Callithrix jacchus: one gene and its partner. The protein of the gene in region 2 purifies or fractionates together with the protein of the main gene of each other region. This does not show direct contact. Links are inferred from orthologs where the notes say so. Each region holds a gene or a part of one and is shown on either strand. Other genes may lie near its edges.

Region 1 (9,876 bases), on a different chromosome or scaffold from region 2:
CTGGAAGCTTATTTGCCGGCTAGTGGATCTCCCAGAGATGCTGGAGGGCCTGGGAGGACTTCCAGTCTTGGGGAGAGACTGTAACTTGGGTACTTTCTCCCCAGGGCCTGATTTCTAGGGGAATAGCCTTCCTGGACTGGGCATGAGCAGGTGGGAGCCCTGTCTGGCAGGGACCAGACCCCAGGAGAGTTAGCAGCCCAGCTCCTTCCCTCCCTTTCTGCAGTGAGCTCCGCTTGTAGCAAAATCACACATTTTGATTTCTGGAACACTTCTGGGAGCCAGGCAGGGCAGCAGTAGTGTCCCCGATTTACAGATGAGACTGAGGCTCACAGTGCAGGTCCTTTAGTGTCAAGGGCAGGGATGGGCCTCAAGCCTTTGCTGCTGTTCTGCGGCTTCTCTAAATCCTCCTGACGCCCAGGAGGAGTTGGAACCTTTCAGGGCCCAGAAGTTCCAGCTTGGTGGGGGCTGCTTGGGTAGAGCCCGGCCTGAGCTGCGCACATCGGGGCAGGGGTGAAAGGAGCCGAGACCACCACCCTCCCCACGTCGGGGGTTGGCCATCGGTTGGTTGGATTTGTCCCCATTTGACACACTCCCCATTGCAGTCCGGCTCGCCCTCAGCTGGTAGAAGAACAAGAGGCAAGGGGCCTTGGGCACACAGTCTGGGGGTCCTCCAAGCCCCCTCAGCTTTATTCTATTTCCTCAGTTGTGGCAGTTCCCCCAGATTCCCCAGAGACAAGTATCAGACAAAGCTGATGGCAAACACAGGATGGAGCCCGAGGGGGCTACTGGCACTGAAAGGACTTCTCAGTAGGCTCTGGGTCTCCCGCCGCCAGTGACCCCTTCTGGCCACTTCAAGTTACTCCTCTGCTTCCCGGCTTCCCTCTGCCTCTGGCTCCCCTGGCTGAGCAGGCCCTCCCCGGGCCCAACCCTGGCCCCCTTCAGCAGTTGTCTCAGGCTCTTCCCGAATGTCCCTGGGGCTAGCTTTGACCTCAGCGTCCCCATCTCCCCGGCATCCCTGGTCCTCCCCTCTGCTCCCTGCCTCTGACTGCCCACCGCCCTCCTCCTCTGTTGCAGACCCCTGGGTCTCAGGCCACTCTGCCCGGCGGTAGATGAGGTAGCCTGTGGTGGGCAGCCTGTGGGCCAGGGCTCCCGGGGGCAGGCGGTGGTAGCCCTGGTCCTTGTGCAGGAAGAGGCCGAAATTGTTGGGCTGGGTCACTCGGAACTTGGTGGCACAGAGCTGGTTTAGGGTGGCAACCGAGGCCTCTGGGGGCACGGCCAGGGTCTTGGAGGTGCAGCCACTGCTGGGGTCCTGATAGGCTACTCGGAGAAGGTGCTATACAGGAGGAGAAGTGAAAGGAAGTACTCAGTCCTGGCAGGCATGCATCTGGGTCCAAAGCTGAGGGGCCAGTGTGGGCTGTGTGGGGACAGATGGGGAGGTAGAAATCCAGTGGGAGAACCAAGTGGGAAAAGCCCTGTGAGCTCCAGGGGTGGGCTCGTGGGCCACAGCTGAAGGTGCAAGGACAGCCCAGCAGGGAGCTCAGGAGCCTGAGACGAAGCTTTGATAGCACGTAGTCTGTGCCCCAAGCACTCTCCTGCATTAACTCATTTCATCTTCACATCAACCCCAGGAGGTAGGTCCTATTACCCCATTTTACTGATGAGAAAACTGAGGCACAAAGTAGTTAAATAACTTGTCCAAGTTCCCACAACCCAGTGGCAGAGCTAGAATTCGAACCCAGGATCTGGCTACAGAGTCTGGACTCTTCACCAAGGACAGGAAGGTGAAGGGCGGGGACGGTGTCTGGCTCTGAGGACACGGTGGAGGGCCTGTTACCTGGAAGCAGTGGGTAGCAGGCAGGTGGCGCTGCTCCCAGAGGCTGAGGGAGCGCCGCAGCTCCTGCACGGGGCTCAGTGGGAGGGTGTGGGCCTGGCCCAGGCCGCCCAGCAGGGCCAGGCTGGCAGAGAGGCTGGTCAGGTAGTAGCCACCTAGGACACAGTGTGGAAGAACACAGCTCAGGCTGGGAGTGGGGCACCCCACTTCCCTGCTTATTCAGGGCCCACCCAGACAGGGAAGTTGGTGGGGGTCCCTCACCCTCTCCGGTGAGCAGTGTGGGCTCCAGCAGCTCTGACATGTACTCGGCCTCCAGCAGCAGCTCGGGAAGGTCACAGTGGGCCAGGACGAGGCTCAGCAAAGGCAGGAACTCATCGGCACCTGCGCCCTCCCCTGTGGGGCCACAGTGAGAGGAAGAAGCTTCAGGTGCAATCCTTGCTTTAGGCAGTGACCCCTCCCCCCGGCCTAGCAACCACAGAGGGGCTGTGGAGAGGATAAGCTGCTCTCTGGGCCTCAGTTTCACCATTTGTGAGACAGGAGAGTGGGCTCATTCTCCCCCACAGTGCTGTTCCAGGGTCCTGGGGACCTGCCGCTGGGGGGCCCGCCTGTGACTCAGAGGGGCAGGGCAGGGTGAGGTGTGGCAGGGACATACCCTCCTGGGTCCTCAGAGCTGTATAGAGCAGCTTGCAGGCCTGCAGAAGCCGCTTGACCTGGGCACTGGGTGAGTATGTGCGGAGCAGCTGCAGCAGCTTCTGGCGCACCTGCTCCATCTCTACTGGGGAGGGCAGGCTCAGGTGGGACCCGAAGGCTCCAGGCCCCTGTGCCCGGGCCAGGCGGAGGCCCTCAGCTAGGCGTCCCAGGGAGCCGTCTGCAGCAAGCCGGCGCCGCAGGCGGGCTGCCAGGATGGGCCGGAGAGGCTTGAGCACAGAGCGATGCAGCGACTTCTCCAGCACATGCTCTGCCAGAGGAGGGGCAGGAAGGGGTCAGGGGAAACAGGGCAGGACTGGAGGTAGGGGCAGAGGTCAGGAGAGAAGGGAGCAGGGGTAGAATCGGGGAGGAGAGGCAAGGAAAGCAGGAGGTAGACTGGGTGAGATGGGAGAGTTGGGGGAGAGGGGGTGGAACTCTCCCGCACAGTGGTAAGACGGTGGGTTTGTAAAGCAGCAGAACAGAATCAGACAGGCTGGCACTGGAGGGGAGCAGAGGGTCGGATGGGGCAGTGCTGGAGCTATGGAGAGATGGAGCCTCACCCAGCCTCTTAGGCGACAGCAGCTTCTCAGGGCCCAGCTCTGCACTCAGCATGGCCCGGGCCCGGCTCAGCGCCTGGCGGACACCCTGCAACTCCTGAGGCTCAGGCCTGGCCCGCACCTGGGTCAGTAGGTCCTGCACCAGCTGGCCGGCGGCTGTGTGTCGGTCCTGTATCAGTGTCGCTGCAGCCCGGCCCACCTGCCGCTCTGGCCCAAGTAGGGAGCAGAAGGCGGCACTCATGGACCGAAGCAGAGGCCGCCGGCGGCCCAGGTGGGGTGAGGTCGCTGGGCTCCCCTGGGACCCTGTTGCCCCCTCCTCCTCGGAGCTGCTGGGGGAGCCGCAGTCCACCTCCTGGAGGGAGGGCAGGGGTGGAAGGCTAGGGCCACCACCTGCTGGCACGCGATACCCCACTGAGCTCTCCCTCCGCAGCAGCTGGCAAGGGGGCAGCCGCTCTGCCTGGCTGGGGGCTGCCCCTGGCAGCACGGGGACAGGGGGAGGCGGCACAGCAGGTGGAGACAGGGGGCTGGAGGTCTCTGTGGACACGCGCACTTTGAAGCTTCTCTTGAACTTCTCCCGCTTGGTGGGCCCCAGGTCCCCTGGGAACAGGGGGTTGAAGAAGCACAGGGCGGCTCCGGTGCCCTGGTCCAGCTCTTGAGGGGACCGGGCCTTCAACTGGGGCAACACTGGGCCTCCAGCTGGGCCCCGCTGAGCCTTGATGTTGAGGGAGGAGCTCCAGAACTCTAGGGAACAAGAAACTAACTGGGGCCTCTGGGGTTGGTTAGGGGAGGCCTCCTAAGCAAGGAAAGGCTTCGGGCTGTGTGCTGCGAGCCTTCCCTTTCCCTCAGTCTCAGCTTGTCCATCTGTGCAATGTGTGGCAGGGAGCCCTTACCAATGCCCAGATGGGAGATGGCCTCCAGCTCTTTGTGGGTGGCTGCCTGCTGGATGGCTGTGGGGAGCTGGAGCGGGAGGAGAAGGATGTCCCTGAGGCCAGAGAGGGGAGCAGAAGGGAGTGAGGGATGCTTGGGCCGAAGGGGGTGAGGAGGATGGGCTGTCCCAAGGAGCAGGGCCCGTGGACACCAGGCACCCTGTGGGCAGACTCACCGGGTGTGGCAGTAGGCACAGATGAGCTGGACTAGGTCCGGGAACATGAGCTCTGAGCCCTCCAAGGAGATGCCTGAGAGAGGAGGGAAGTGAGGTGCTTCTCTGGGGAACCTCCCTGCTTCCAACCCTTCCCACCAGGTCAGCCCCTCACCGCCAGGGCTCTCCAGGATGTAGTGGCTGGAGACGAAGGAGGGGCCACTGGCTTCGGGCAGCCGCATGCACAGGGCCTGGCACTGGCGAGTGTTCGATTTCCGCACGAGGAACGTCTGCAAGTGGATGGGGTTCAGGCAGCTCAGGACCTTGGCATCCGGCCCCTCTCCCTCCCACCCCTGGCTGGCCAGTCCCTGGAGGTCAGGCAAGACTCACCCCCGGGGGCTCTGTCCTTAGCACGTGCAGAGCAGCCGCCGCGTTGGCTTGCAACTGTAGCCACACGGGCCGGGTGAGCAGCAGGCGCTCCCGGAGGCTCACAACACGCCCCGGCCGTTGCGGCCCGCCTGCCTGCCTGCCGCTGGCATCGGGTACGTCGTACAGTGGATCCTGGGCTGGCCTGGGGGCAGGCACCCAGATCTGAGCAGGGGCCGGGGGCTGGGACCTTTACTCACCTCTTCCCTGCTCCCGGGTTTCCCACCTTCTCTGTCCCGGGATAGGCTCTCCTCTTGCCGCCCCTCCCTGTCCCACCTGGCTGCCATGCCAACTTCACTAACTTTTCTCTCTCCAGGTGTCCAGGAGTGAAGCTGGACGGGCTGGGGGCCCCAGGAAGGCCCGCGCCTGGCTCTCCAGGGCTTTCCATGGCTGGGAGCTCCTTCGGCTTCAGGAAGAGAATCCAGCCCGAAGGCAAGGCGCGCACATCCCCAGTGAGTAACACTTCCTGAGGGCGGTCCGCCTGTCACACCCGCCAGTTAACTCTTGTGTGTCCACCCCGCCTGGCCAGTGCCTGCCTCTTCTGTTCTGGACCCTGCTCAGTGGTCAGGGATCCCCTCCATGCTAGCTATCCCCACTCTGATGGCCCCAGCTGGGGGGTGCCACCTCAACACAGGGCCTCCTGCAGCCTCCCCTTCAAATTGCAGATGGGTGAGAAGCGGTTAAGCAGGCCCGACTGGGTCTCCACAGGCCCCAGCCACTCCCTTCACCCTTAGGGCACCTCTGGGTCTGTGGTCAGTTGCTCATCTGCCCCGCCTCAGGTCAGCCTTGTGGGAGAGCACCCTCTACTGTCCATCGATGACTCATTCCTGAGCCTGGGTTTTGGAATTTCAGGTTGCCATGGAAAAAAGATGCTGCATCTCCATGGAAACCAACCTCTTTGCTTAACTGAGGTTCTGGGGGTGGTTCTGACACTCAGAGCTAACCAGGGGGAGTCTGGCTGTGAGGTCGCCAGCACATGGTGCTGCTGTCGGCTGCCTCCCACGCACACAGGCTCTGCCAGCCTGCCTTGCCAATCTGCCAGGCAACTGGGACAGGTGCAGACATGACCCAGGCTCCAAGCACACGCACCCACCCTCCCTACCCAAGGCGCTCCGCTAGCAGCTTCCAACTGTGCCCAGCGCCCACCTCCCCACCTCCGCCTCCCCAGCCTGGCCCTATGCACAGTGCTCCAGCCACTGCTGGGTAATGTGAGGAGTCACTGGCACCCCAGAAGTCGGCCTGGTTCAGGCGCTCCCCACAGAAGCTCTGATTCTCTTGCAAGGTAAATCACACGCACACACAAGGCACTCAAGAGTTCCAGGAAAGGTTTTAATTCCAGTCCTTGAAATCTGGGAGGCAGACACCAAGAACTGCCCTGAGAAAACCTAGGGGCCTGGCTTCTTGCCTCCAGCTCCAGCCAGGGTGGACAGCCCTCCAGACACCACGTCTGACTCAGAGTTCCCGCCAGTGGGGCCTGGCTTCCTGGCCTAGAGGCCGGGGAGCCTGCCTGCATCCAAGGTCAGCAGGAGGATGTGGCTTCGACTTCAGCTGTCTTCTGTCAGGGGAGCCCTAAGAGGTGGATCTTCAGGAGTGGGAGGAGGCTCAGGAGACAACAGCTTTGACTGGCCAGGTCAGCTCCACGGCCACAGCTGTGCAGGCCTCAAGGAGGGCAGAGGAGTCCAGTGCCAGCTGGGGCGGGGAGGGGGGAGGGCCCTGCAGCACCACGAGCCTGGCTGGGTGGACACTGAGGGGCCTGTGGGTCCACCTGTCTGTGGCAGGAAGATGAGAATCCTGGGTGCCGTGCCAGCGGCTCTGAGGGTCCCCTGGCTGTGAACAGCAGGGTCATGGTCCTGTGCATATGCAGGAAAGAGAAAACTGTCACCACTGAGGAAGCCAAAAGGAGGGAAGTAGCCACTTACTGAGGGGAGCGGCTTTGGGCTGGCCCAGGACAGGCCTCCTGAGCAGCTCCCCTGCCCTCCCTGACTCCTCCTGAGTGGAAGCTCCATCAACCCCATCCTGGTTCCTGCTCCTCAAACTCCTGCAAACCCCTCAAATCTAGATCATCTTAACTGTCTTGGGCCACTGATTGTGACAGCCACAGCCGCTCTGGGATCCCTCCTGGAGGCTGAGCTGAGGGAAGGTGATGGTGAGGGGGAAGGGGAGGCCGTACAACAGCCATGGTTCTTACCATCCGATTTTCTCTTCTGAGGGGACACAGCTGCCCTAGCCTGGATGGGTGAGAAAAGCCCCCCTGAGAGCCCACCTCCAGCTTGGCAATCCCTGTCCCCACCCCCCACTTCTGTGGCATGCGTGTTGCTGCCTCAGTACACCCCCAGGGCTGGGAGCATAGGCCCTCCCAGGCAGAGCTCCCATACATTTGACCACTGGCCAGCTCAGCTGCTCTCCTGCCTTCCCACCACGCTCCCACTCCACCAAAACCTGCCCTGGAACAGGAAGGGGCTGACACAGACTACAAGTCCCTTCTCCCAGGGCCACCTCGAGCAAGAGGACTTGTGAGCCGACTTCGATCCAGGGACCCTGGGCTAAAGGTAGGGGAGCCTTGGTGAGCAGAGAACTCCTAGGCCTGCAGATGGCAGAGCTGCTGCCAGGGTGGGGGGGCCCTGAGGTGGGGCAAGGGACATGGGCAGCAGCAGCCCCACCTTTTTGATAGCTGTCCAGTCCTCCAGGATGTCGATCTCCTGTAGCATATACACGATGTACGGGCCTGTAGTGGGGGTCAAGGAAGCCCAGTGGAGGCAGCACGTGATGAGGGCAGGGGCAGGGTCACCCACCCGACATTCGGGAGTGGGGGTGCAGCAGACAGCATGGAGCGGGAGCTGAGGACCTGGGTCCGAGCTCAGGTTCCACCTTCTACCTCTTAGACCCTGGTTCCCGGGGTCCTCCTGGAACCAAATCCATGGAGGACACCAAGTGTTGCCTGCCATCCCTTAATTGCCCTCGTCTCGTCTTGAGGTCAGCTGGCTGAGGCCCATCCCATCTCACCCTGTAGCACCAGCCCTCAACTGACCCCATCCCCCATCCAAAGACAGATTCAGGGCTTGTTCCTCCAGAGACAACTTCTCCCTTCCCCCAGTGCTCCCTACCTGATGTCTCCATGCCTTCACCTCTCATTCGCAGGCCTTCCAGATTCCTCCCTCCCTGCCTGGGCCTGCTCTCCAGCACCAGGTGGCTGCTGCAGGAATGTCCTCAGGGGCGCAAGAGAACTAAACTCTGCCAGGACAGATGAAGGCACAGCAGGCCCTGGACTAAGCATAAGCCAACCCTGTCTAGGGAGGGGCAGAGGCAGCCGGTGCCCTCTGGAATGTGGGCACCCCAGGCACTGGGGGAAGACCAGGAGAGGCCTCACAGAGGAGGTAATGTTTGAGATGAGCCCTGGTCAGGGGCAGGCAGGACTTTCAAGAGGTGGGTAGGAAGTGAGCAAAGGTGCCCACGGAAAGCTGGGGACCCGCTTGGACCACCCTGGGAGACGGAAAGCCCTCAAAGGCCAAACCTCACGCAGGCTCAAGTACACTGGCACCATCACAGCTCGCTGCAGCCTTAACCTCCCAGGCTCAAGCAATTCTCTTGCCTCAGCCTTCAGAGTAGCAGGACTATCGGTGTGCCCCACCATGCCTAGATTATTTTTATTCTTTTTACCTAGAGATGGGTTTCACCATGTTGCCCAAGCTGGTCTTGAAATGAACTCCTGGGCTCAAGCAATCTACCTGCCTTGGTCTCCCAAAGCGCTGGGACTAGAGGTGTGCACCACTGAGCCCAAGCCATTTCTGTTTTCCAAGGGACCATACAGCCCAGGGAGACCCAGGACCCTGTAAGAAACTGCTGACAGCTGGATTTGCCTGGACATGGTCACGTGACACCAAGCAACCACGAGTTCGTCTATGTGACTGTCCTCCATGTCCTCTCCACCCCCCACTCCAGGTCTGGAGCTGATCCTGTCCACTTTTAGGCCACCTTGGGTGAAAGGATACCAGAAACAAGAGGTGCCTTCTTCCTCTTGCTGGGCGGCAGGGAGTCCCAAGACTTGGAGCTGCCTTTGGCGTGCAATTTGTCGTCCCACCACTCTGCCCCCAGACCCAGAGTCAAAATTGGGGTGCTGGCCCACAGGATGCTCCCTCTTTTGTAGCCTCTGCCCCCACCATGGGCCAGCCTGGCCTCACCTCCCTTGCCCCATCACCACCCTGGGCTTGCCATAGGAAGCCCCTTAGGGCTATTCAGGTCCCAAATGCACAACCCCGGGAAGAGGCCACTGTACTTCTTGAGCCTCATCTGTTTAGTGGACAGTGGGATAATGACAATTCCTGCCACCCCAGGACTCCACATGAACACTGGTACTGTGAACATGGAGGGGACTACAACTACTATATGGGACTGCATGTTACATTGATACCTGTTTTGGAAAGAGAGCAGGGGCAGAAGAGGGCAGGGGGACCCACTGCCCGAGCCCCCATTGTATGCCAGGCCCTTTCCAGGCCTGGTTTCCTTCAGTCCTCACACTGATCCCAAGAGGCAGGTCGTCTGACTGTCCCCTTGTGCAGTTAGGAAAGCTGAAGTCCAGAGCCGGGTGGGCGTTGACAGAGCCAGGCTCTGGCACTCACCGGAGCTGAGGTCCAGGCTCTGGCGGTCCTCCTCCAGCCTCTGGATCCGCTCCTGCAGCTCCCCCTGCAGCGTATCGTAGAGCAGCAGCTTCTCACTCTAGAAGACGGGCAATAGCTCAGCAGGAGGAACAGGAGGAGTCCACTGCAGGCCTTGCACCCGCCTCACCCCGTATGCCCTCAGGCCCACCTCCAGGTGCTGTTTGGCTCCCTGCAGCTCACACTCGTACTTATTCCTGATCACATCCAGACAGAAGCCCTTGTAGATCCCTGCAGAGGGCGGGAGGAGGGGCCCTGCTTGTCTAGGGAGCCCAGTGCCCACAAAGGAGGGCTGAGAGCAAAGGGTGAGGCTGGGCAGGAACGAGAAAGGAAGGGGACAGGGTGCCATGGGTTCTGGGAGGAGAATAGGGCACAGAACCACCCACAGACCTGCCACCTGAATGCGAATCTTGAGGCTCCGCTGCAGCCCCCCAAGTGGCTCTGTGTATTCAGGGGCTCTCTCAGCCCCCACTTCCTCCAGCCGCAACCGCAGCTGACTCAGTCGTTCCCTGAACAGCCTGGGTGGGGAGAAGGCAGCAGTGAGCCCATTTGCTCACCCATCGCTCTTGGACAAACACATACCCAGCACCCATTGCACAGCAAGACCCATGTCAGGCGTGCACTCCCTGGGCACCAGCCATGCCT
Region 2 (9,776 bases):
CATTTCCCAGCTCTGTATTGTAGCACTCTGATTTGCAGTTCTCATTACAGCAGCAATGGCCTTGTGAAAGCAAGGCTAGGGGTACTTCCGACAGCCTTGAACAAAAATTTCTCTTTATACATTCCCAGCTTTCTTCTGTCCCACCAAACTCATTAGGTAAATTGGAGCATAATCACCATGAGTATCTACCAGAGTCCCAGGTCTGGGCACAGTTGCTGTGGTATAGCTGAGAGCGGCCCTGCCTAGCACCTCCCAGCATTCCAGGTAGGGATGGGCTGCATTGCCTTCCTTATGACATACATATGTTCCCTGATTTTCCAGTGCAGTTTCCAACCCTGTCTCCTACTGCCTTGCCCCCACTTAATAATTTACCTCTCCTATACTTTTGTGGTTAGCTTCTTATTTTTGAGATGAAACTGTAAACGTGAGAACTCAGGGATCTGAGGTACTTCACATAAACACACTCAAGTATGAGTCATTTTTTGAAAACAAGAACACAGGAAAACAAGTCCCTTTCCCTCTCCCCTCAGAAATGTGTGCATTTTCCCACCAGCCTAACAGTGGCTACCTCTGTACTACATCACTGATTTCCTGTACACATGACAATAAGTTATTAAGGACGGGGTTTGCCCCGGGCACACCAGCAGCTGCTGAAGACACCTGTAGCTCCTGTAAGCTGAGTTCCAGTTTGCTCACAGCCTCTCGGAAGGCAAATTTGTTCCGAGTTTGAGGGATGCAGTCCACGTAGCCTGAGCAGTAGTCGAGCAGCTGGTGTCCAGTGTCTACCAGCTGGCTGTTGGGCAGAGGTTCCGTGATTGCACTGGACAGTAGGTCAGCACATTCCAGCAGGGCCTCTTTGCTGATTTTGTCTGCTGAGATTTTCTCAGCGGCCTGTTTGGTTTTTCTCAGGGCCACTTTAGTACCTGCTGTGCCGTTGGCCATTTTGGCGGGCGAGATGGAAGACGTGGGCAGAGGCACTTGAGGTGGAGGCACCACTGGCCTCCCAGCTTTCCCACTGATGGGCACTGCGCCCGGAGCTGCCTTCTTTCCTCCTTCCTGTGTTTCTGATGTGGACTGTCCTGCAGCCGGGGCAGTCGGCTCTTCTGTAGGGTCTGAACATAAGGATGAATGCTGCAGTAGTCTCATCACTGGTGGTGGGGGTGGGGCACACTTTGGTTTTACCCGTCGGGGTCGGTCCTTGTCTCCAGAGGATGTAACCTGATGCTCAGATAAGAGCTTGAATTTATTCCCCTGAGAGTCTGTGCCAATAAGCTGCACATCAGCTGGAGTGTGTTTCAGAGTGGGTGAGATAAGGACTGGCACTTTGTGGTTGTGAGTGGTTGGGAGGACAGGGGCAGCCTTGGCTGGAGAAGACCAGCCGGGCTGCTCTCCATCCTCTGGGACTCCAACCATCCCAAGTCGTGTCCCACCATTCTTCTCTTTGCCCTTGGGGGCAGCTGTCACTCCAGCCACTCCCATCCCTGGAGAGTCCTTCTCTGTAATGGCTAGATCCCCAGAGGGGGTTCTAAGAGGAAGAGCTGTGGCTCCTCTGGGCAGTAACTTGGCTTTTGGTCTCTCCCTGGTTGGAGCAGCACCTTCCTCTGATTTTTTTAGAAGCATGTCATTGGCCCTGTCCACATTCTCTTCTGGCTGAGAAGAGGTGGACACTGTCCTTTCCAGCTGGAGTTTGGACCTCTGGCAGTTCCTGGGAAGGGTCATTGCCATCCTATCCTGCTCTGGAAGCCCTGAGGACATGGAAGATGTAGAGTTTGACCTTGGAAAAGGCTTGGAAGTGTCATCACTGGCTGTGGGTTTACCTGCTCGTAAGCCCAGTGTCTTTTTGATTAAGCGTGGTGTAAAGAAGCCTGTGATACCAGACCACCCACCCCCAGCAGTGCCACTGCCCCCACCCCCACCACCGTCGTCATTACACAGGTTCCTCTGTGCAAAGCTCCCCCCATAGCACTTGGGTGGCACCAGATTCGCCTCTTGCTGGGCAGGAGTGAAAGAGAACCCATCAGCATGCTGTAGAGAAGCAACAGATGAGAAGTTACCCGTGAGTTCGTATTTCTTATGGGGCTGATTCTCCATTTCTCGGAAGGAGCTGCTGCGTTTGGGGGGTGTGGGAGCATTTCTCTTTTTCATGAAGGAGCTGAAGAAGCCCCCTTTCCTATCCCTGGTGAAGCATGTCTCTTTGGCATCTTCCAAGAGGCTACTGGGTGACTTGTCTCTTTGCTTTCGAGGCAGTGCTGGGGATCCACTGGAGGCCTGTGCACCTCTGAGGAACCCTGATGAGAAACAGCCGATCAGTAATGTGAAAGACAGGAAGTGACTCTATTGTAGTTGAGTTACCGAGGCTGCATTATAAGAGTTTTGCCAGCATTTATCAAATGTCAGGCGTTGGCGGGACTCAGTGGCAAAAAATAAATACATTATCACTGCACAGTGACTGGTGTTCCAAATGTGATGTGGGTTACAAATGGGGGGAGATAACCTGCTGGTTATCACCTCAACATTCATCCTTTCTTTAAAAACCACTGCGCAATCTGTTCCCTTCTATGAGGTTCAGCAAAGTTTTTGATGGACCTGTAAAGATGATGCCTACTTGGGAACCCAGGGTTAAGGAGATGAAACTGGAGGGAGAGTTGTATGATGGATGGACAGATCAGGACAACTAACACTGGCAGTGTGGAGCCAAGGACTTCACAGGTGGGTGAAAGAGACTCCATGCTTTCCTCAGGGACGATGGGCATGAAAGTGGACAGAAAAGCCTCATATCCCACGCTTCTTTCAACAAGGTAGTTTCTATTTTGATTCTAGCTGCCTAGAGACCCATACCTGGTGCTAAACTGGAAGCAGAGTTTTCTGTGGCATCATCTTGTGCCCCTTCAATGTTCTCCTTGTTCTCTGCCTGTTTCTTCAGTGTCCGAGTCTTGGAAGGAAGTATAGGTAGCCGGGGCAGGTATGGAACAACAGATGACGAGGAGGCAGCTCTCCCAAGCTCCTCAGCTACTTCTGTCAGGAAGACAAGGGGACTGATAAAAAGAACAATTTCATAACAGAGAAAGGGAGCTCTTTTCAGAAAAGGCACACAGCTGAGAAGGAACTGACAAGTAGAGAGTACTAAAAAACATACACAGAATCATAAAATATGTACTCTTCTGTCTTCTTTTGCCCAGTATCATGTCTGTAGATTTGTCCACGCTGCTGCATGTGGCAGGGGTTCTCACTTCTGTGTAGTATGCCAATGTGTGAATATACCACAATCCACCTGTTCTCCTCTTGATAGATGTTTAGGTTGTTTCTAGCTTGGGGTTACTACCAATACATTGCTAGCATCATCCTGCCATGTGTCTTTTGGTAGACAATGCTATGCACATCAGACTGGCACAAACACAGGAGAACTGGTGGATCACAAGGTATATGAGCATTCACGTTTTTCAGGTCCTGCCAACCTGTCCCTAAATGGCTATACTATTTTGCATGAAAGCTCTGGTTACTCTGCATGCTTGCTAAAATTTGATGTTATTATTTTTCATTTTTTTGGCTTGATTTTTTTTTTTTTTGAGACAGAGTCTCAATCTGTCACCCAGGTTGGAGTGCAATGGCTTGATCTCAGCTCAGTGCAACCTCTCCCTCCTGGGTTCAAACGATTCTCCTGTGTCAGCCTCCTGAGTAGCTGGGATTACAGGCACCTGCCACCATGCCGAGCTATTTTTTTTATTTTTAGTAGAGATGGGGTTTCACCATGTTGGCCAGGATGATCTCAAACTCCTTGTGATCTACCCACCTCAGCCTCCCGAAGTGCTGGGATTAGGATTACAGGTATGAGGCTCCTCATGCCTGTAATCTCATGCTTCAGATATATATATCTCTCTAAGAATATCATTTTAAATATTCAGCTATATGAATGTAATAATTTGCAGTCCACTAGATATTTAAGTTGTTCATAATTTCTCACTATTATAAACTACATTCTGATGCAATGTCCTTACAGTTAAATCTTTGTTCATATTCTTATTTCCTTAAGATCTATTTCCAAAAATGGAATGTCTGAATATTGTTTTTACAACTTGGTTCTGCTTTGTAGATGCAGTTCAGGGAGTTAGAATTTTTTTTTACTTATTTTTTCCTTTTCTCTTTCCTACATCCTAAATATTGATGCTTAATGAGCTACCAAACTTACTAATGTTAAAGGGAAGATGAATAAATTTCTAATTAAAATACAACTTCAATTTAAAATATATGAGACACAAAGATGCACTGAAAATAGCAAAAAAGCAACACAGCAATAACCAAGGTCAAAAATTAGTTCAGTATCATAAAACAGAGTCCCAAACTACAGAAGTTAATCATTTTCGAAATGTAATTACCATTATCATCACCATCACTACCCAGAACTAGTCACCAACAGTAAATTCTATAGATTCTCACCTTCAGAAATGCTGGAGTCATGGAACATGGTTTCAAAAGCTTGGTGTGTTTCAGCAAAAGAGGGCCTATCGGCAGGGCTCCACTTCCAGCCTACATAACGGAAGAAGAAAATATTAAAAACTCCTTGCAGAAATTCAATATCCAGTGGTATGTCTAATAATGAGTTCCATGCCTCATGATGTGTACTTATTAGACACATGTTATGGCATGTTCACAATGATAACAACATACCCACTTCTCAGCTCTAGACTCAGAGGTATAACGAACCCACTGTTTTTTGTTTTTTGTTTTTTTTTTTTTGAGATGGAGTTTTGCTTTGAGCTCCAGGCTGGAGTGCAATGGAGATCTCAGCTCACTGCAACCTCTGCCTCCTGGGTTCAAGCAATTCTCCTTCCTCAGCCTCCCGAGTAGCTGGGATTACAGGCATGTGCCACAACACCTGGCTAATTTTTTGAATTTTCTCCATGTTGGTCAGGCTGGTCTTGAACTCCCAACCTCAGGTGATCCACCCACCTTGGCCTCCCAAAGTGCTGGGATTACAGGCTAGGCCACCGTGCCCAACCAATAAACCCACTTTCTAAATTCCTTTTTTCTTTTTCTTGGAGACAGGGTCTTGCTCTGTCACCCAGGCTGGAGCACAGTGGCACGATCTCAGCTCACTTCATACGCTTATTGGACATCTGGATATCCTCGTTTATTAAGTTAAAGTTAACCTTTAATTCCTTTCCATGTCGATATATCCAAGAAAGTCGGGCATGGTGGCTCACATCTATAATCCCAGCACTAGGTTGACAGATCACATAAGGCCAGGAGTCTGAGACCATCAACATGGCAAAACCCCATCTCTACTAAAAATACAAAAATTAGCTGGGCGTGGTGGTGGGTGCCTGAAATCCCAGCTACTCAGGAGGCAAGCACAAGAATCACTTGAATCTGGGAGGTGGAGATTGCAGTGAGCCAAGATTGCAACACTGCACTCCAGCACGGACCTCCTGGGTTCAAGCAATCCTCTTGGCTCAGCTCCCCAAGTTGCTGGGACTATGGGTGTGCAACACCACACCCAGCTAATATTTGTATTTTTATAGACAGGATTTTGCCACATTGCTCAGGCTACTTTTGAACTCCTGAGCTCAAGCAATTGCCCACTTTGGCTTCCCAAATTGCTAGAATTACAAGTGTGAGCATCACACCTGGCCATGAACCCACTTTCTAAGGCTGGTGCTTCTATTTAGCCTCAGCTCCTATTCCTTCTACTAAAGGATGAGGAGAGACGGGAAGATGGTTTAGAAAATGACAAGTTTTCTTCCATTTGAAAATGGAAGAAGTAAAAGTTTGTCTTCAAACTCAGCCTGACCGTATAATCAACTGTACATACTCAGTAATATAAAAGGATATCAAAAAGGAGGAGCTCAAAGTTCACTTTTGACAAAGTACAACAGAGAACGCCAAAGTTCAGTGAGAAAAGAACACAGACTTATGTTCAGACACAACTGCAGTTCAAGCTGGGCATGGTGGCTCACACCTGTAATCCCAGCACTTTGGGAGACTGAGGCAGGTGGATCACTTGAGGCCAGGAGTTCAAGACCAGCCCGGCCAACATGGTGAAACCCTGTCTCTACTAAAAATACAAAGATGGGCCGGGCGCGGTGGCTCAAGCCTGTAATCCCAGCACTTTGAGAGGCCGAGGCGGGTGGATCACGAGGTCAACAGATCAAGACCATCCTGGCCAACATGGTGAAACCCCGTCTACTAAAAATGCAAAAAATTAGCTGGGCACGGTGGCGCATGCCTGTAATCCCAGCTACTCAGGAGGCTGAGGCAGGAGAATTGCCTGAACCCAGGAGGCGGAGGTTGCGGTGAGCCGAGATCGCGCCATTGCACTCCAGCCTGGGTAACAAGAGCGAAACTCCGTCTCAAAAAAAAAAAAAAAAATACAAAGATTAAACAGGGCGCGGTGGCTCAAGCCTGTAATCCTAGCACTTTGGGAGGCTAAGGTGGGCGAATCACTTGAGGTCAGGAGTTTGAGACCAACCTGGCCAACATGGTGAAACCCCATCACTACCAAAAATACAAAAATTAGCCATGTGTGGTGGCAGGCACGTGTAATCCCAGCTACTTGGGAGGCTGACGCAGGAGAATTGCTTGAACCTGGAGGGCGGAGGTTGCAGAGACTGCGACACTGCATTCTCTCCAGTTGGGGTGGCAACAACAACAACAATTAGCTGGGCATGGTGGAGTGTGGCTGTGGTTCCAGCTACTCAAGGGCTGAGGCAGGAGAATCACTTTAACCCAAGAGGTGGAGGTTGCAGTGAGTCAAAAATCACATTACTGTACCCCACCCTGAGCAACAAAGCAAGATTCTGTTTCAAAAACAACAAAAAACAAAGCAAACAAAAACAACAACTGCTATTTAATTCACTACTCACTTCCCTACTTTTTTATCTGCAAGCAATCAGATGCTTCTGTTTATCCAACACAGAGGTATTTGTACGCAGTTCTTCATAGTCTTTAGCAATCACTTTTATCTAGTTGAAAGCAGCCCTCCCCATCTTAAGCTCTAAACTCAATCTCTTATTAAATATGCAAATGTATCTGAGAAACTGGGCCAATATTTGGGCCATAATAAAAACTATTCTTGGGATTCCAGAAAGACTCAATGCTATATGATATGACAACTGGCTGATCAATGATAAACTCTTTAAATGTCATGAGGCTGGATTCACTCAAACAGCACTAAGAGGAGAAAAGTTTCTAATTTTGTTAACTATTCTGAACTGCTAGCTTATGGCTTCAAAATTAAAATATGCAAAAATACTCACATGCTCTCATAAGTTCATAAACTTTCGGGGGGCATCCCTCAGGCTGTTCCATTCGATATCCTTTTTCTAGTAGGTCATAGACCTGAGACAGGTCAATACCTGGATATGGTGACATTCCATAGGTAGCAATTTCCCACAACAGTACCCCAAAAGCTGCATAAGGAATTTTAAAAAGCACTTAGTGTTTCTCCTCTGATTTATTATGCATTTTACATAATTAGGTAATTCTCTTCCCAATTTTAGATAACATTCACACCCTGTTACAACAACATTAACATAGAATATACTCTTTTATCAACTCTTACAGCATGGCTTGTTCTTCTAAAATATTTGCCACAGGCATAGAATCTCAAGACAGTTTTATTTAAATTTCCCAATTTTTATTTAGATTTCCTTTACTACAGTGAGGGAAAATAAACTATGAGCATTTAAGAAGCTGGGGCGTAATCCAACTAGTCTTAGAAAAGTCTCTGATATACAGTAGTCACCCCTTATCCGTGGTTTCATTTTCCATAGCTTGTTACTCACAGTCAACCAAGGTCGAAAAATATTCAATAGAAAATTCCAGAAATAAACAATTTGAACGTTTTAAACTGCATGCTGTTCTGAGTAGCATGATGAAATCTCAAGCCACGCTTCTCCGTATCCACACCATAGATGCTACCCACCCCTTAGTCACTAAGAAGACCTCTCAGTTATCAGATCAAAAAAAGATGATATATCCAGAGTTTGACACTATCCTTGGTTTCAGGCATCCAAGCAGGGGGATCTTAGAATGTATTCTCCGAGGATAAAGGGGAACCACTGTATTTAATAACAGTTTTAAACTCAGCTAAAATAAAGATTCATTTAAAATCAGATAAAATTCAGAGCAGAAAAAAAATTGATTTTGTCACAGTTATTTCAGTTTGAGATTTCTAGTAAAAAGTGACTTATAATCCTATGACTATTCCTATTGGCCCACAATCCAAATTTCCAGATCATTCAGTCCACTAAGCTTCTACCAAGTCATATTACTTCTCAGAGCAGTAGAAACAAGATCAGTAAGGACAAATTCTAGATGAAACCTCATCAATGCTTCCCTTGAAAAGAAAGCTCTGTGACTCAGTACTTTGCAAATGAGTAATAAAACCTAATGTGAGGCTAGTGCAGAGGCTCACTCCTGTAATCTCAACACTTTGGGAGGCTGAGACAGGTGGATCATCTGAGGTCAGGAGTGCGAGACCAGCCTGGCCAACATGGTGAAACTTCATCTCTACTATAATGACAAAAATTAGCCAGGCATGGTGGTGCATGCCTGTAGTCCCTGCTTCTTGGGAGGCTAAGGTAGGAGAATCGCTTGAACCTGGGAGATGGAGGTTGCAGTGAGCTGCGATTGTGCCACTGCACTCCAGCCTAGACAACAGAGCAAGAAAAAAAAAAAAAAAACTAATATGGAAATATGGTGCTATACAGAGAGAGGATCATCAGCACTCCAGTGCAATATGAAATCTAGACTGTGAGCGCTCTTGAAGGAATGGACTTCTTTTTTTTAAACTTTCTTCTTTATACTTTTTTTTTTTGAGACAGTCTTCCTCTATTGGCCAGGCTGCAGTGCAGTGGTACCATCTTGGCTCACCGTAACCTCCACCTCCCAGGCTCAAGCAATTCTCCTGCCTCAGCCTTCAGCCTCCCGAGTAGCCGGAATTACAGGTGCGCACCACCACGCATGGCTAATTTTTGTAGTTAGCAGAGATGGAGCCATGTTGTCCAGGCTGGTCTCAAACTCCTGACCTGAGACAGGGTTTCACCATGTTGACCAGGCTGGTCTCAAACTCCCGACCTCAACTGATCTGCCCACCTCAGCCCAAATCGCTGAAATTACAGGCGTAAACCACCACGTCAGACCTATTCTTCTGTTTATGTGAAGTTCTTAGCACAATCCTGGCAGACAGGAGGTACTTAACAAATGCTTGCTGAATAACTGAAGAAGAATGGCAGGTAAAGGTAGAGGATACTGAACATCATAAAAAAGAAAAGCTCTAAAGAATCAAGGGCATTTATTAAAACAATAAAATGACATAGAAAAAAAGTCCCTTTCAACCTTACCCCAGACATCAGATTTAATTGAGAAGGTATTGTAGGCAAGACTCTCTGGTGCTGTCCACTTAATAGGAAATTTGGCTCCAGCATGAGCAGTGTAAGTGTCTCCAGTCATCAATCTACTTAAACCAAAGTCAGCCACTTTTACCACATGGTTTTCTCCCACTAGGCAGTTACGAGCTGCAAGATCTCTGTGGAAAGAGAACCCTATATGTGATTCCATTCAGACAGTGAGGAAAATGGTCATGAACACTCTATTCTTGGTTCTTTGTGTTATAGGCAGAGTTAACTAAGTGCTGACAAATATGGTAGTATTTTTTGATAATCACTAACATCTTAGAAAGCCACTGTAGAATACTCATCAAGAAGCAGAATAAAGTAGGCTTTATAATATGGGTCCCTATTTATAAATACATTGGGATAGGTGAGCAATAGATGCTT

Evidence for each region.
Region 1: the proteins of ABL2 (region 2) and RIN1 purify together in Homo sapiens (co-immunoprecipitation; 3 studies listed by BioGRID and IntAct, counting the BioPlex papers as one, with this or other methods). This does not show direct contact. The link is inferred for Callithrix jacchus from reciprocal best matches to the Homo sapiens genes ABL2 and RIN1.

Annotation. Positions count from the first base shown.
Region 1 is NC_133511.1:123,410,790-123,420,665, forward strand, and holds RIN1 (ras and Rab interactor 1), read right to left. Parts: upstream 5,003-9,876; 5' UTR 4,968-5,002; coding exon 4,882-4,967; intron 4,725-4,881; coding exon 4,544-4,724; intron 4,444-4,543; coding exon 4,329-4,443; intron 4,251-4,328; coding exon 4,178-4,250; intron 4,058-4,177; coding exon 3,966-4,057; intron 3,817-3,965; coding exon 3,079-3,816; intron 2,790-3,078; coding exon 2,484-2,789; intron 2,225-2,483; coding exon 2,093-2,224; intron 1,987-2,092; coding exon 1,835-1,986; intron 1,334-1,834; coding exon 857-1,333; 3' UTR 647-856; downstream 1-646. Other genes in the region: BRMS1 (breast cancer metastasis-suppressor 1), read right to left, coding at 6,422-6,429, 6,768-6,807, 7,240-7,304, 8,569-8,661, 9,196-9,292, 9,383-9,462, 9,622-9,749. UniProt on the Homo sapiens protein: Ras effector protein, which may serve as an inhibitory modulator of neuronal plasticity in aversive memory formation. Can affect Ras signaling at different levels. First, by competing with RAF1 protein for binding to activated Ras.
Region 2 is NC_133519.1:24,168,741-24,178,516, reverse strand, and holds part of ABL2 (tyrosine-protein kinase ABL2), read right to left. Parts: intron 9,527-9,776; coding exon 9,342-9,526; intron 7,407-9,341; coding exon 7,254-7,406; intron 4,525-7,253; coding exon 4,435-4,524; intron 3,016-4,434; coding exon 2,839-3,015; intron 2,289-2,838; coding exon 565-2,288; 3' UTR 1-564. UniProt on the Homo sapiens protein: Non-receptor tyrosine-protein kinase that plays an ABL1-overlapping role in key processes linked to cell growth and survival such as cytoskeleton remodeling in response to extracellular stimuli, cell motility and adhesion and receptor endocytosis.